2 linked regions of the Elephas maximus indicus genome follow. The protein of the gene in region 2 interacts with the protein of the main gene of each other region in a biochemical or structural test. Links are inferred from orthologs where the notes say so. Each region holds a gene or a part of one and is shown on either strand. Other genes may lie near its edges.

Evidence for each region.
Region 1: the proteins of RALGDS (region 2) and RAP2A form a complex in vitro, tested with the Homo sapiens proteins (2 studies listed by BioGRID). The link is inferred for Elephas maximus indicus from reciprocal best matches to the Homo sapiens genes RALGDS and RAP2A.

What each region holds. Positions count from the first base shown.
Region 1 is NC_064832.1:92,112,653-92,119,774, reverse strand, and holds the start of RAP2A (ras-related protein Rap-2a), read right to left. Parts: upstream 3,017-7,122; 5' UTR 2,994-3,016; coding exon 2,680-2,993; intron 1-2,679. UniProt on the Homo sapiens protein: Small GTP-binding protein which cycles between a GDP-bound inactive and a GTP-bound active form. In its active form interacts with and regulates several effectors including MAP4K4, MINK1 and TNIK.
Region 2 is NC_064827.1:84,192,531-84,200,346, forward strand, and holds the start of RALGDS (ral guanine nucleotide dissociation stimulator), read right to left. Parts: upstream 3,051-7,816; 5' UTR 3,011-3,050; coding exon 2,828-3,010; intron 1-2,827. UniProt on the Homo sapiens protein: Functions as a guanine nucleotide exchange factor (GEF) activating either RalA or RalB GTPases and plays an important role in intracellular transport. Interacts and acts as an effector molecule for R-Ras, H-Ras, K-Ras, and Rap.

The DNA of each region.
Region 1 (7,122 bases), on a different chromosome or scaffold from region 2:
AAGAGTAGAAAATTCACTTATTTGAAAACCATGTTTCATCCTCTTTAAGTGGGAGGAGGGGTGAAGAACCAACACAGTGAACGCCTGTTCCAGTATAATATATGCTTTATGTATTGTAGATAGATAACAGACACAAGTCCTTTCTCTCTTTCAATTTAATTTTTGTATAATATGCTATATGCTGGGAAGCCAGGGGAGCCTTGGAGGTGCAGTAATTAAGAGCTATGGCTGCTAACCAAAAGGTCGGCAGTTCAACTCCACCAGCCGCTCCTTGGAACCCTGTGGGGCAGTTCTACTCTGATCTACAGGGTCGCTAAGAGTCGGAATGGACTTGACTGCAAAGGTTTTTTTGGTAAGGTCTGGGAAACCAGATGATGAGGTTAGGGAGGGGTATAAAAAAACATGATGTGAACATAAAAGTCTCAGTGGTTCTTCATGGGGAAAATGGTAGAATTCCAGTGAAGAGTGGATGAACTCCACTTTAGCTGCTCACTGGTCTTTTTACACCAAGAAGGGAACCTAGTGAGTACAGCGACATGCAGGCAAGTCAAATTTATCCTTACCCTCCCCCCGCAACGGGCCACAGTGCAAGAAGTTGTCCCAGGACACCAATTTTAGACTAAAACATTACATACTGAGAAAAATAATCAGCACTAAATAAGAAATTATACTATCCGATGATATCTTGTCTACCATATTTTGCCCCCTAGGCTCGGGCCAAGAGGTTTGCTCTGGGTATGTGGCTTTATAACGTATGCATGCACCTTTATATGGACATGTTAAGACATGAAAGGTGGGACAGCTGGGGCACTTACTTAGATTATTATTTTATGTGTTTGGTCAAACGCTGAGATGTGGCAACGTGTTAGACTGCTCTGCTCGTAGATTTTTTTCATTTTAATTGCGTGGTGTTGGGGGTGGGGTGGTGAAGTATAATTAAGCATTTGAGTCCCCTGAATGGTACCCACTGCTGTCGAGTCGATTTCCACTCACAGTCATCCTACATATAGAAAAGAACTGCCCCACAGGATTTCCAAGGAGGAGCTGGTGGATTCAAACTGCCTACCTTTATAGGTTAGCAGCTGAGCTCTTAACCACTATGCCACCAGGGCTCCCTTTGAATGGTGTAGTTCCTTCAATGTCATATACATTATCAACACCAAAACTGCCCATCTGTTAACCATAAACAACTTGAAGATACTGAGACTGGAGAAATAAAAGGCTATCAGACTCACAGATCTCAGCAACAAAGGCCATAAAAATATTGACTTTATTCTAGTTTGAAATTTAACTGAAGGGATAACACAAAACTTTCACTTAGCTATTGAAGTGCACAGTCATCTGGTTAAGGAGGGTGGTGGGGAGAGGGCCTCCCCTTGAAGCTCCTACACTGCGTTAAAAACCCACTGCTGACAGAGTTCTTGAGCATGCCCTGAGTACACCGCGCTTGGTCCTTGCTTTTTCAAGATCAGCAGACTCAAGCTGCCTTCTGGTGTGATTGTGCTTGTGGTAAACTCGCACCTATCTTTCAATGTCTGTCTTCAAATGTATGGCTACAGGTGGAATGGGGTAGGAAAAAGAAAATGAGACTACATCAATAAGGTTATCTGCAGAGACTCTCACAGTAAGAACCAGACAAACATGTGTAATTCAACAGTAATTAGGGAAACTTGCTGAAACTCTGAACCAGGACACTAACACGCCAAACGCTCAAAATCATAGGGAAAAATATACTCAGTCAACTTTAATAGAAAACAGACATCATGTCCTTTAAGCTACCAGCCATAACTTTTTAGAACAGAGTTTATATCGGCAAAGAGCTCGTTTGTAGTAACTTTATCAGCTAATACCCGACTTACACATCTGAAGACTCTTCCGTCTTTTTTTGGGGGGGGGGGATGGTTAGATGGAAACAAAACCAAATGGAAGAAAAAAGCATTTCCGTCCAGAGTTAAGCCACGCTTCTTTTAATGAATAAAAGGCTTATCTGTGCACCTATAAGCTAACACTCCTGCAACCCCACTGAGCTGCTGTCTTCAAATAACAATCTGGCTTCAAAGTTTCGCACTAAATCAGAGAGCTGATTTCTGTAAGACGCATTTGCACCATTAAATCTTTTCTGGGATGATAAAGGTCTCTTTGCTCTTGATGTGGTATCTTCGCAGTCCATGTGTGAGCAATTTTTGCCATCAATATTGCAAAGGTAGCTTTTCGGGGGGAGGGGGCGGGGGCGGTTCAATCTGAAAATGTCTTGCCTAGACTTCCACTATCCTCTTCCCGACATAAACCTGCCCACCCCTTTAATCCCCTGCAAGTTTTAAACTTTGTTTCCTTTAGGGTTCTGTACAAGCGCTCCTAAGACGAGCCAAGAGACAAAGAGCTGTGCTGTGGGTTAACGGGGTGCCAGATATTAGTTGTGAAACAAAGCGGTCAAATTGGAGACGGAAAATGACGACGACGAGGGTGGGGAGGGCTGCAGAACCAGCAGGAGCGCGCGGGCCGTCTCCCCGGCCAGCGGCCCCTAAGGCGGACCCGCGCCGGGGCTGCGGCCCCGGGACAGCCGCGCCCAGTCCCGCCCTGAAGCCCGGCTCGGGCCGCCCCCCGGGGCCCCTCCGGAAGGGGCTGCCCCCGCCGGCCCGCCCGCCCGCCCGCCCGCGCCCCCGCGCCCGCGCCTCTCACCGCTTCACGCGGATGATCTGGTCCCGCATGGGCTTGATGTCCTGGAAGCTCTGCTGGTTGACCAGGCTGTAGACCAGGATGAAGCCCTGGCCGTTCTTGATGTACAGGTCCCGCATGGAGGCGAACTGCTCGGTGCCCGCCGTGTCCAGGATCTCCAGCACCGACGGCGACGAGTCCACCTCGATCTCCTTGCGGTAGAAGTCCTCGATGGTGGGGTCGTACTTCTCGATGAAGGTGCCGGTGACGAACTGCACGGTCAGGGCGGACTTGCCCACGCCGCCCGAGCCCAGCACCACCACTTTGTACTCGCGCATCGTCCCTCCGCCGCCGCCGCCGCCGCCCCCGCCGCCCGCGACATAGACTACGCCCGCCGCGCTGCGCCCCCGGACCCTGCCCCGGCTGCCGGCCCCGCCGCCTCCCGCGGCCGCCCCACCCGCACGGCCGCGGCGGCCCCCCGGGCGGCGGCGGCGGCGGCGGCGGCGGAGGGAGCGGCGGCCCTGGGCATGGGCCGAGCCGGGCGCACTGAGGGCGAGCAGGGAGCGCAGGGAGCGCAGCCGCCGGAGCCGCCCGAGCCGCGGGCCCGCAGTGCCGCCCGCCCGCCCGCCTGGCCGCCCCGCCCCTCGCGCCTCCACGCCCAGCTCCTCGCCCGCCGCCGCCGCCGCCGCCGCTCCCCTCGGCGCTGGAGCGCGCGCCCGAGCCCGAGCCCGAGCCCGAGCCCGAGCCCGAGCCGCGGCGCGGCCGGGGGCGGGGCTCGGCGGCCGGGGCGGGGCCTCGCGGCCTCGCGGCCCCGCCCCGGCCCTCGTCGTCTAGGCGACCAGCCGCGCGCGCTCCCCGGAGGCTCTGCGCAGCGCCGAAGCTTCGGCCCGCGCTTAAATAAACAAGCCCCGCGGCCACTCACCACCACCCCACCCGCACAGCCCACCGCGCCCTGGGGCCTGTGTACTGAGCATGCCCAGTTCGCCTGCCGGAGTCTCGGGTCTTGGCGGACACGGACGCTAGCGGGGCCAGGCCAACCTAATGCAAGCAAAGCAGGGAAGACGTGGGCAGGGGCTCTGCCTGACACCGCCCAGTCTGTCAGTATTTCTCAGGGCTTCGCTGTGGGGATGAAGCTCTGTGTAAGGTGAGGAGAACACCTCCGGCCTTCTGCCCGAGGTTGCATAAACGTAAGGAAAAGCAGCTTTGTTCCCAGCGGCAGAGCAATGACGGACAGGTGACAAGCACCCACGGCCGGAGGAGCTGCTCAGCAGCGGCCACACACACCGCCGAGGCAGGGTTCACGCCTAGCGACGTCGACGTGGATCCCATCCACCTCCCCTCTAGCCCCGCCTCCCACTGAGCGGGACTGAAGGCGAGCTCTTCCCACGCCCTGTCAGCTGCGGGCGCAGGAAAAACCCGGAGCGCGGAGCCCTGCGAGGCCGCCAAGAACACCAGGGATGCCTCAGCAACAGCCGGCTGGAGCATTGAGTAGGAAGCTTGGATTCATTCCAGCCAACCACAACACGTCTCTATACCTCGTGGTATCACTCAGGGCCAATAGGGAGCCGCCTAATGCCACGTGACACCCTTGCTTCAGCCAATAGGGAAGAAGTCTAGTTGCAGGCTCAGCCATCCATTTCCGTATGCCTCTCCAGGCGGGGCGTTTGCGCCTGCGTACTCTCTGCCAACCAATCGTAGGCGAGCTGGTGAATGACGCAGGCTTAGGTTGAGCCAACCACAACTTTCGATTGTCTTGCTACAAAGGCCGGGTTGTATGGAGACGGGACTCAGGGCTGGTGTGGCTGGGGAGGGCGTCAGTGATTGAGGGCTTGGTCGCTGTGGCTTCCTCTGGCAAAGCAACGAGGGTTGTTGCAGAGGAGGGTGATGAATTGAGTCTCTGTGGCGTTCTCCTTCAGTGATGGGCGTGGAAATGGTGTTGAGGGATTGGGGTGAAGGTGGGCTGAATCGCGAAAACAGAAATTTTCCTGTTCTTGAGGAGGCATCGTGCAGCAGTTATGTTGGTCCTCTCTGGGTGCCTCCTAAGGCATAGGGTGTGTGTGTGTGTTTTCCTGTTTTAAAACTTAGGTTATGTTTCGAGCATTACAGCTTAGGTACCCTTCTGCACCCACAGCCCCAGACATCCCTGGATTATTTTTGTAATAACTCGTTGTTGGGTTTACCACCCATAAACTAAGTCCTTCTAAAAGTAGTCTACTCTCATCCATTACTCTCTCACATCTCTTGGGAATAATAAATCCTTTTTTTATAGTCATAACGTTTGATTCTGGCGTGCCTCTCCACCATTACTTTTATACCCAGATTCGACAGTGTCCTAATGCCTTATCACTCCACTAAATTAGAGTGGATGATTCATATTCGCGTTATCTCGCTATATATATAAGATATATATATACAATATGTATATGCACACACACACCACCCTAAGTTTTTGTTTAAGACAAGGAAGTGTCCTGTCAGAATTAAAAGTGTGTAGTAAAATATGCCTCAGTCATTATTTCTTGATTATCATCGAAATATGAGTGTTATATCTGAGTCAGTAGGTTCAGCAGTGTATGAAGGCAAATTGCAAAAGAACTAAGAGGAATAATTTAAAAGAGACAGAAGAGGATCTGATATCTCAACCGAAGGTAGTAATGTGAAATAGGAATTAAAATTGAGAGAGCTCAGTTGAATGCTTCATATCTGAGCACTTTGGCAGAGACATTTCAGGAGGATGTTGTAGGTAAATGCACTGTTCACCTGGCATTTCAGAAGTCTGGTATTTTGTGTGAAACTAGTATTCTTATTTGTAGGTACATGAGCTCAGTCGGTAACAGCTACACTTCTTTTCTAAGGAAAGACCGACTGTCTTTTAAGGTCTGAATTGTCTAACTTGGTGATAATAACTTCCTGGGCTTGGTGGAGGCTAAGGAGAGCCAAGGAGCTTCAAAGTTCTGTCTTTGTGTAGATCATTACAGCCCGTGCAGTGCCTTATGTCGCAGTGGAGTTGAAAATCTGTTCCTTTTGCGAGGAATAAAAAAGGCCCAGTGACTTTTCTTTTTTGAGAAATTAGTGTTGGGATTGTGGGCCCAGTATGTAACCTTAAGCAATTGTTCTCCTTAGCTTGGGTTCCCAGACAATTAGGAGGCTCTGGATTAGAGTGCATCAAACAGAAGTTGTAACAAATATAGGAAGTGGGCTCCTTAGTCAGTCTGCTTCGCATAATGGAGCAGGAGAGGTGTTTGGCATGTCTCAGGCTATTCCTCTGACCTTTCACCGGTGCTGACCTTCTGATAAGCAGAAGTGTAGAGACTGCAGCCCTTGGAGTAACTGCAGTTTGTTTATAGTTCTGATATGGACAGGCCTCAGTTTGCATTCTCAAGTGGCATGAAGTAACTTTTTAACCACTAGGAGGCAAAGGAAATGTGACAGGCAGGCACATGCTTTCTTATCTGTTCTGGCTTGGATCCTGGTACTTACCTGATTGGTGGCTCTATGTGCAATCCTGGCTGAAGGACTAGCAGCCGTAAGGAAACATGTCGGGACATACAGAGAATTTTGAAGATTTGTGTGGGTAACGGCTGTCTGTCTCCTGGTCCCTTCATCATGTGCATTCCTATGCCAGCATCATCTCTCTGTTCTGAGAAACTTTAGAAATCAAAGCTTCTGCCCCCATTTCTTTGTGAGAAAGGCAAAATAAAATTGAGATAAAACAAAATTGAATTTTCGTTTAGAGTTATAAATCTGTGTTAACACTGCATGCTGACCTGCTGGGTCCCTTTAGTTTCTGAAGTGAATTTCTGGGGGGGGGGGTGGGGGGAGACTTGGTCTCTCTTCTCTCCACTGAATCTGAGAGTTGTCTTAAACCAAAACCCACTGCTGTGGAGTCGATGCCGACTCACAGTGTTACAGAACAGAGCAAAACTGCCCCATAGGGTTTCCAAGGAGGATTTGAACTGCCAAATTCTTGGTTAGCAGCCCTAGCACTTAACCACTAGGCCGCCAGGGTTTCTGAGAGTTGTCATACCTATGCCCAAATACCCTCAAGTGCCATCCATGCGTTACCATGGAAACCCAGCTCCTTTCTTCCAGTGAAAGACGTTGGAAAGGTGTAATGAAGTGGGGATACACTGTGTTGTGGGACTTCCTGACATCAGCAAGAAGCAAATATGCAGAGACTTTAATATAAACAAGTTAGCACAGGCCATGTGTAATATGACCGTTGATCTTGGCTGTAAAACCCTGGTTCCTGTTGATTCCTGTTAAAGCTCATCTCCGATTAACCATAAAAGGCAGGGACAAACCGCGTACATTAGCACCTGTGGCACCCTGCTGGGAATTAGAAGGAGAGCAGAAGACATTGTCTTGTTCTTTGAGAAATAGAAATAGGTTAAAAAGTGGGAAGGAAAGGTCAAAATAAACCTGTTCCTCTTCAGAAATTTGGTACGTTCCAATGCTTTTGAAAAG
Region 2 (7,816 bases):
TGAAGCTCCTGGAGGCTGTGCCTTTGGAGTCAGCCAAGAAAAGGTCCTCCCCAAAGATTACAAAACAGATTCCATGTCATAAAACTTACAAACACATGCAAAGACACACTACTTAGGCCACCCATCTTGGGCCTCCACTGTCAAAGGTGCTAATGAGCTCTGGGGGTTAAGCTGAAGACCAGAACACAGTAAGGCCAAGAGAGCAGACAACCAGAAAGGAGGCCAGGGGAGGAAATGATGGGACATGGGAGTCATAGGCCTACCCCTTGCCCAACCCTTGGGGCTTATGGGCTGCCTGGGCCTGGTCCTGTTTTCCCACAGCTGCCTAGTCCTGCCCATGCATTTACAATTCCCTTGACAGCGAGCTCAGCCCTATCCTTCTCTGATGCCCACAAGCTCTGCTCACAGCAGGCTCCAGTGAAGAACATTGCTTGTGTCTGAATCCTGGCTACATCATCTCTTGCCATGCATGCCTTTAGGTCAGGGTCTTGGCCTCTCTGACCCTTGGTTTCCTATAAAGTAGGTTGGCACCTGCTCTGTAGGGCTGGCTAAGCCCTATGGAATGAGCTGATAGTGCCTGCAGCCAGCACGTGCTACAGACTTGAGAACACCTCTTACCTGGCTACGGTAGTGGCCTGCCTGGACACGGAGACATGGACCTCTGTGACCTCTAGAAAGCACAGAACTGCCCAGGACAAGCTGGGTCCTGCTTGGTTAGAATCACCAGGAAGAGCGGATGCCCAGATGTGCAACAACATCTGGCAGCCCAGAGAGGCAAGGACTGGGCGGAGGCTTGGTAGGGAAATAGGGCTGGGGGTAGGGAAGGCACACAGAGCCTGGTGGTTTCCCAGAGGGGACAGGGACAACGAGCAGAGCAACGAGCAGCGCTGCTGAGCTCTAGCACGATATAGCAGCCAGGAAATCAGCCTCAGTATGGGAGGGAGAGGGTTGTTGGCAGGAGGGACAGGGACTTCCCCGCCCCCTCCCCTGGGCCCATAGTAAATGGTCATTGTGTTTGGTTTCCGGTAGTGGCCTTCTCTCCTGCCAGGACCCTGGCTTTCCTGCCCCAGCCAGAAGCTTCCCTTTGATTTCTAAACAGCGGCCACGGCCTGGATCCCAGGCCACAGCCTGGATCCCAGCACCAAGGACAGATGAGGGAGAGCAGCAGCAAGAGAGAAGGAAGGCAGATCCCTGAGCAGGGAAGGAGTTCAGACCTGCCTCTCCCTCAGATTCCTCAGGGTGTAGATGGACAGAGAGACAAAAGGAGAAGAGAGGAAAGCAGCCGAGTCCCACCCACTCTGGCCAGGAACCTGCTGGGCCCGTGTGAGTTCAGGCCAGACCCTCCCTGCACACATTATGTCCGAGCGGCTGCCAGACATAATGAAAGCCAGATGAGCTCTGGGCTGGTGTTGGGCCTCCCACCCCACTCCCCTGGGGGCCTGTTCCAGCTGCCAACGAAGACCAGAGCTCTGGGTAAATGAGGGATGGGAACATGTCTGGCCCTGCCACCTGCCTAGCTCAGGAGTAAAGGGTCTCCCAGGCCTGAGTACCCCCTCTAAGAGCCCTGGATGCTTCTTGTCCAAGAGCCCCCGACCTCCTGCCCACTCCCCAAGCTGGACAGGGAAACATGCTTTATCCCTATGCAAATACACATCCAGGCCCTGTCCAGGCACTAGAGATACACGCACAGGACCCAGGCTCTCAGGAGGCCAACAAACACAGCTATTACAATGCACCGTGGCCTGCAGTAATGAAGGGGCTGGAGGAGCACCAAGGGGCCCTAAGCAGCACGGGGACCAGGAGCAGCACTGTTAAGGACTGGCCCAGACAGAGCCTAAATTTGCTCTGAACCCCCTGGCCAGGGGTGGCCTCCGTCAGCCCTCTGTCTAGGACCCACGCAGGGCAGGTAAGAGGCACTGCCCTGCATTTTGCTGCCTCTGTTGTAAGGGAGCCAGGAGCGATTCAGGCTGGAGGTGGTAGGCCATTCACTGGATCCCCCTGCCCAGGGCTCACTACAAACAAGAGTCCCGGCTCCTACCGCCCCCATCCCTGACAGGCACATACACACTCCCTCTTGCCCGAATCCTCCCAAATCCTTAAAAACTCAGGGTGTCAGCGCATTTTCTAATCAAGCAGAAATGAGGACCTTGTCCCCTTCAGCCTGGACACCTGGCCCCACATTTTGGAGTTCTGTGTCTCCCCCTTCCCTCCCCGCCCCCAGCAACCCTGATGTCTCCCTCATCATCAGATCCACGTTGGCCCCAAAGGGGGCTGTTGGGAAGGCCCCTAGGGTCCCAATCGCCTCTGAGGATTCTAGGGCTTTGCCACCCTAACCACTGTCTGCTACCGGAAAGCCTGACATGCCGGGTGCTGGCCCCTCCCTGGCAAGGGAGGTGAAATAGGACCCAACCCCTGCAGTCGGGAAGTTCACAGGCAGTACTGGGGCCACAGACGCAAACAGTGACAGCACCGCGGGAAAAGGTCTACTCCAGTGATGTAGGAGCTCCGGTAGGCACGCTTGGGCTGGCAAGAGCAGGCCTTGATACGGTATTGAGGAGGGGGCACGAAAACCCAGCTCTGGCCCCTAAACAATTGGACCGGGGTGCTGGCAGCCCCCATGCCCACTCTGCTGTCTTGGGATTGAGCAAGGAAGTGGATTTCTGCGGAACGACCCTCGACACACCTATTCTGAAGGGGGGTGACCCACCAAGGAGGGATGGGCCCCCTTCCGCTGCTAGCCCGCGTCAGCCTCGCTCTGCCTGTGTGTCAGTCCGCTCCAGACGCGACCCCCATCGGGGCTGGCTCGGGCCCACCCTGGCTCACCCACCTCCAGGCGCGGCAGATCGGGGTCGAGATGCGTGAAGCTGTGCAGCACCACCGAGCAGCTGTCGGGGACGTCCAGCTCCAGGCGCACGGCGTCCCACACACTACGGCTCCGCCGGGAGCCCGGAAACAGCGGCTCGGCGCTGCCCGCAGGCCCGGCCGCCTCGGCCCACATGCGCTGCACCATGGACGGGTCGCAGCGGCGCGGGCGGCCAGCCGCGGCGCGGGACCCGGGGCGGCGCGGCCGCTGGAGGCCAGCCCGGCGCTCGGCGGGGGCGGCAGCGCGGCCCGCGCAGCTCGGCGCTGCCTGCGCTCTGGGCCCGCAGCCCGGCCCCTGCTGATGTCAGGCCGGAGGCGAGGCCCGGCCGGGGGCGGGGCCCACCGCGCGGAGGGGCGGGGCCCTGGAGGAACAGCGAGGTTGGAGCCGTTGGGCGGGGCCGGGAGAAGAGGCGGGGCCAGAGAAGAGGGTGTGCGGCTGTGTGTGGGTGTGTGTGGTATGTGGCTGTACGTACACTATATGGGCTTGAGTTGTGTACGTGTTGATCTGTGACGAAGCCGAAGGTAAAGCCAGGCCCTGAATTCAGTTCAGCCCTTCCTTGTGGCCCTGGACAAGTTGCTTACCCTCTCTGAGCCTCGGTTTTTTCATCTGGAAAATACGTGTAATGGAAAGCACTTCCTTAAGGAGTTGCTGAGAGGATCACATTAGGTAACTGATGTAAGGCACGGGTGCCGGGGGCTGGCCAGTACTCGTAAGTACTGGAATGGTGTCCACGTGCTGGGTGTACGTGCCTATTTGGAAGTCCTGAGTGTTGTGTTGTGTGCTTGGTGCTAGGCTAAGGTTGGTAGGGGGAGTGTAGTGTGCTACGCCTGCCAGAACCTTTCCCCGCACTATCTCCTTCCAGCACTACAGCTACCATGGGTAGTAGATACAGGCAGAAAGGAGGCAGAGGAGGAATGGTCAGAGGTGGGGGAGAACTGGAGATGGAGTCACCAGGGTCGGGGTCTACAGAAATTCAAAAAGGAGGGAGGCACCCTTTAGCTAAATAACAGATTGGCTCATAAAATAAAGAATATTAGCAGTGAGTACTGTGCATCTTTTAAAAATCATCTATATGAAACCAAATGGTCAACAATTATTCTAAAGCAAAGATGAAAGGGTAAGGGGACAGGGGGAAAAAAAAAGTAGGGAGCAAGGGATCAAGAGTGATAAATGCCAGACAGAGCACCTGTCCACTGGCCTGGTCAGCTGGAGCCACTGGCAACCTTGGTGCCCACTGTCTCGGGAGAGGTCAGGGTAGAAGTGAGGCTGCTGAGTGATGGAGAGGCAGTGGGGTTAGGGAGCCTCAGCTGCTTTTTCCAGAAGTCAGAAAGGCAAAGAAGAGGGAGCCTAGAGGTTAATAGCAGGGTCAAGAGAGGCATTTTAAAAACATTTGTAGAATGGATGAGTGAACATCCACACCTAACCCACTGCTGAGGACTGCCCTAGCCTCGGCCCTTAGTCCTCACAGAGGTGGCATTGCTGTTAGCAGCCCTGGCAATGCCACCAGCCTCCCCACAATCAGTCCCATACCCACTGGGCCTCGGCTTCTCCATCTGTAAAATGAGGGGACAGGACCAGACCACACATTCCACAAACATATCTTGCACATCTATTATGTGCCTATGCCAAACCCCAGGTGTCTGTGGGCATTGGGGTCCCAGAAAGTTACATCCCCTGGGAACCCACCTGGGCAGCTTGAGCACATGCCGGGAGGTTTCCTGTCTGGGCACAAGGCCAAGCATTGACAAACACAGGCACGAAATAATTGGGCAGTTTATATTAAGGGCACTGAAAACGTTCATGCCCTTTGACCGGCCAATCCCACTCTTAGGAATTCATCAAAAGGAAACAGAGCTGTGGACAGGGATTTCTATACAAGAATGTTTATGGAAGCACTGATTACACTGCCAAACTGAACTAACTCAAAGTCCCCACCAGGACCAAATGATGAAATAAATCAGGGGACTCTTGATGCCATACAAGCCATAGGAGAAACAGACTCTTCCACGACACAGGACAATGCATCAGCTATGATTGGGAAGTAAATATATGCATAAGACTAGAAGGATCTACCTCACAAAAGTAATGGTGGTTATTTCTGGGTGGGAGTAAGCATTTTTTCTTTTTACTTCTCTGAATTTTCTAAAATATATATTTTTAGAATCAGAAACATATAATAAATGCAGGGATTCTTGAGGGCAAGATGGTTGGATTTGGTTTGGAGTGGAGGTCCCCGGGATGTCTTCATACCCTGCTGCCTGGGAGGGTGAGGTGCGCAGCAGCTCATTCAGAGGAAAAACTCCTCAAAGGGCAACAAGGGGGTGACCCAGACACTGACCCTCTGACTCCAAGCTTCTCCTCCCACCCCATCTTCCAGGGCCAAGCTTACCCCGTCTTCCAGGGCCAAGCTTAGTGCATCTGGGAATTTGGAACAGGCTGAGTGAACTGGGCAGCTCCCTGCCCCTCTTTGTCTCTTTATCTCTTTCGCAGAGGGGAGAGCCTGGGAAGCAAGCCTGTACCCATTTTACAGCCAGAAAAGTGGCCCATGAGGCCAAGCGACTCACAAGGGTATCCAATGTCACCACCACTCTGCTCCAGGGGTACACGGGTTGGGGGGGGCAAGAAGGCTGGAAAGGGGCTGGACAGTGGGGGTGTTAACCATCACCACCCCTCCCCAAACGCCACAGGCCTGGCTGTATCCCATCCGACTGCTTAGCCAGCATCTACACGGGGAAAGTTCCCACCCATTACTTAACCAGTCTCTCCAGTTGGCGCCTGTCTGTTTTCACAAAGTCCCCCTCCCTGCCTTGTCCGCCTCCACTTTGGGTCTCCCCCACCCCTGCCCAGCTGCATACTCCCACACAGCGGGGCCCTAGCTCCCAGAGTGGCAGCGTAGCATGGAGAGCAAGCTCTGGCATCGAAATATCTGTGCTTGAATCCCAGCTCTGCCTGCTTCTTACTCCGTGACCCCCAGGCAAGCTACCTCACCTCTGAGTCACAGTTTTCTTCTTTGTAAAGTGAGAATAATAATGAGATCTAATGAGATGGCACAGAGGAAGCACCTCACACAGGCCGTGGTGCCTGAGGCCCCGAGATCAGGCAAGCAGGTGACACTGCCTCAAGGCCGTTAGCAACAGGAGCTGAATTTCCTGGGCACCTTCTGTGTGCAAGGCACATGCCCCTTAACCTCGAATCCTCCCCCCAGCTGTGCCATCACTGTGGAAGAACACGGTGACACCCAGGCCAGAAACTGAGCTTGAGTCCAGTAAGGCCTCTACATAGAACTACCAGTTTGGAGGAGATCCGGGGAACAGAGAAACATGTGAAAAATACCGTGAGGATGCAATCAGCGCATCTCAGACTGTGGCAATCCCTATAGGAAAAACCACCCAGTTTCTCCCGTGAATTTCAGGGGTGAAAGCAAAGAAGGGGAAAGCTATAGATCAAAGAAAGGGAAGAGACATCAACTAAACGCAATGCGTGGACTTTGGATCATGATTTCAACATGCTAGCTATTCAAAAAACAATTAAGAGATAACACCGTGCACTCGCCCCTACCACCCTCTTTCCACCATCTTTCCGTGCTGCCATAGTGGTGTACGTGAACATCCCGGCCTACGCTCTCAAGAGCATCAATAGCACCGAGAAGACCGGCAAACACCAGGTTCTTATCAGGCCATGCTCCAAAGTCATCGTTTGGTTTCTAACTGGGATGATGAAGCATGCTTACGTTGGCAAATTTGAAATCATTGATGATTGCAGAGCTGGGAAAGTTGTTATGAACCTCACAGCAGTGATGGGCCTTAGAGTTGACATGCAACTCAAAGACTTTGAAAAGTGGCAGAATAAATCTACTTCTCTTCCATTAGTTTGGTCTCATTATACTGATAAGCTCAGCTGGCATCACGGACCATGAGGAAGTAAGACAAAAACACACAGGAGGGAAAATCCTGAGATTCTTTTTCCAGGGATATAATACACATGTACAAATATAACGCCTCAATGACGGAGACAAAAAAAGACTATGAGGCAACTGGGACTATTTAAACACTACTGGATATTTGATAATATCACAAATTATTTTTTTGGTGGGATAATGGTATTGCAGGTACTATTAGAGTCACATACTGAGCTAGTTATGGATGGAATGATACCCCTGAGATCCGCATAAATATTACCTGCCAGGAGAGGGAGGGCGATAGGGGTGGTAAGAGGTGAAACAAGAGTGACCTGTGCTGGGATGCAGACCCCAAATTCTCATAAGACCAGACTTAATGGTCTGACTGAGACTAGAAGGACCCCGGCGGTCCTGGCCCCCAGACCTTCTGTTGGCCCAGGACAGGAACCATTCCCGAAGCCAACTCTTCAGACATGGATTGGACTGGACAATGGGTTGGAGAGGGATGCTGGTGAGGAGTGAGCTTCTTGGATCAGGTGGACACTTGAGACTATGTTGGCATCTCCTGCCTGGAGGGGAGATGAGAGGGTGGAGGGGGTTAGAAGCTGGCAAAATAGTCACAAAAAGAGAGAGTGGAAGGAGAGAGCGGGGTGTCTCATTAGGGGGAGAGTAATTGGGAGTGTGTAGCAAGGCGTATATGGGTTTTTGTGTGAAAAACTGACTTGATTTGTAAACTTTCACTTAAACCACAATAAAAATTATTAAAAAAAAAAAAAGTGACCTGTGCTGATGATCATTAAATCTGGGGATGCACCACAGCAGTTAATCATGCCATTTTCTTTTCTTTTGTGTGTATTTGGAATTTTCCATAATGATAGTTAAAAAAAGAAAAAGGACACAGTTTGAGACTCACCCTCTGACAACCCTGAGGCTCCCAGCAGCCTTCGAGGGAGGGTCAGAAACCCCAGCGCAGGAGCCATGGCAGTAACGCCTATCAGCTTCACCACTCCCCCATGCTGTCAGGTTCCTGGCTCTGAGCCCACAGTGGTCACTCA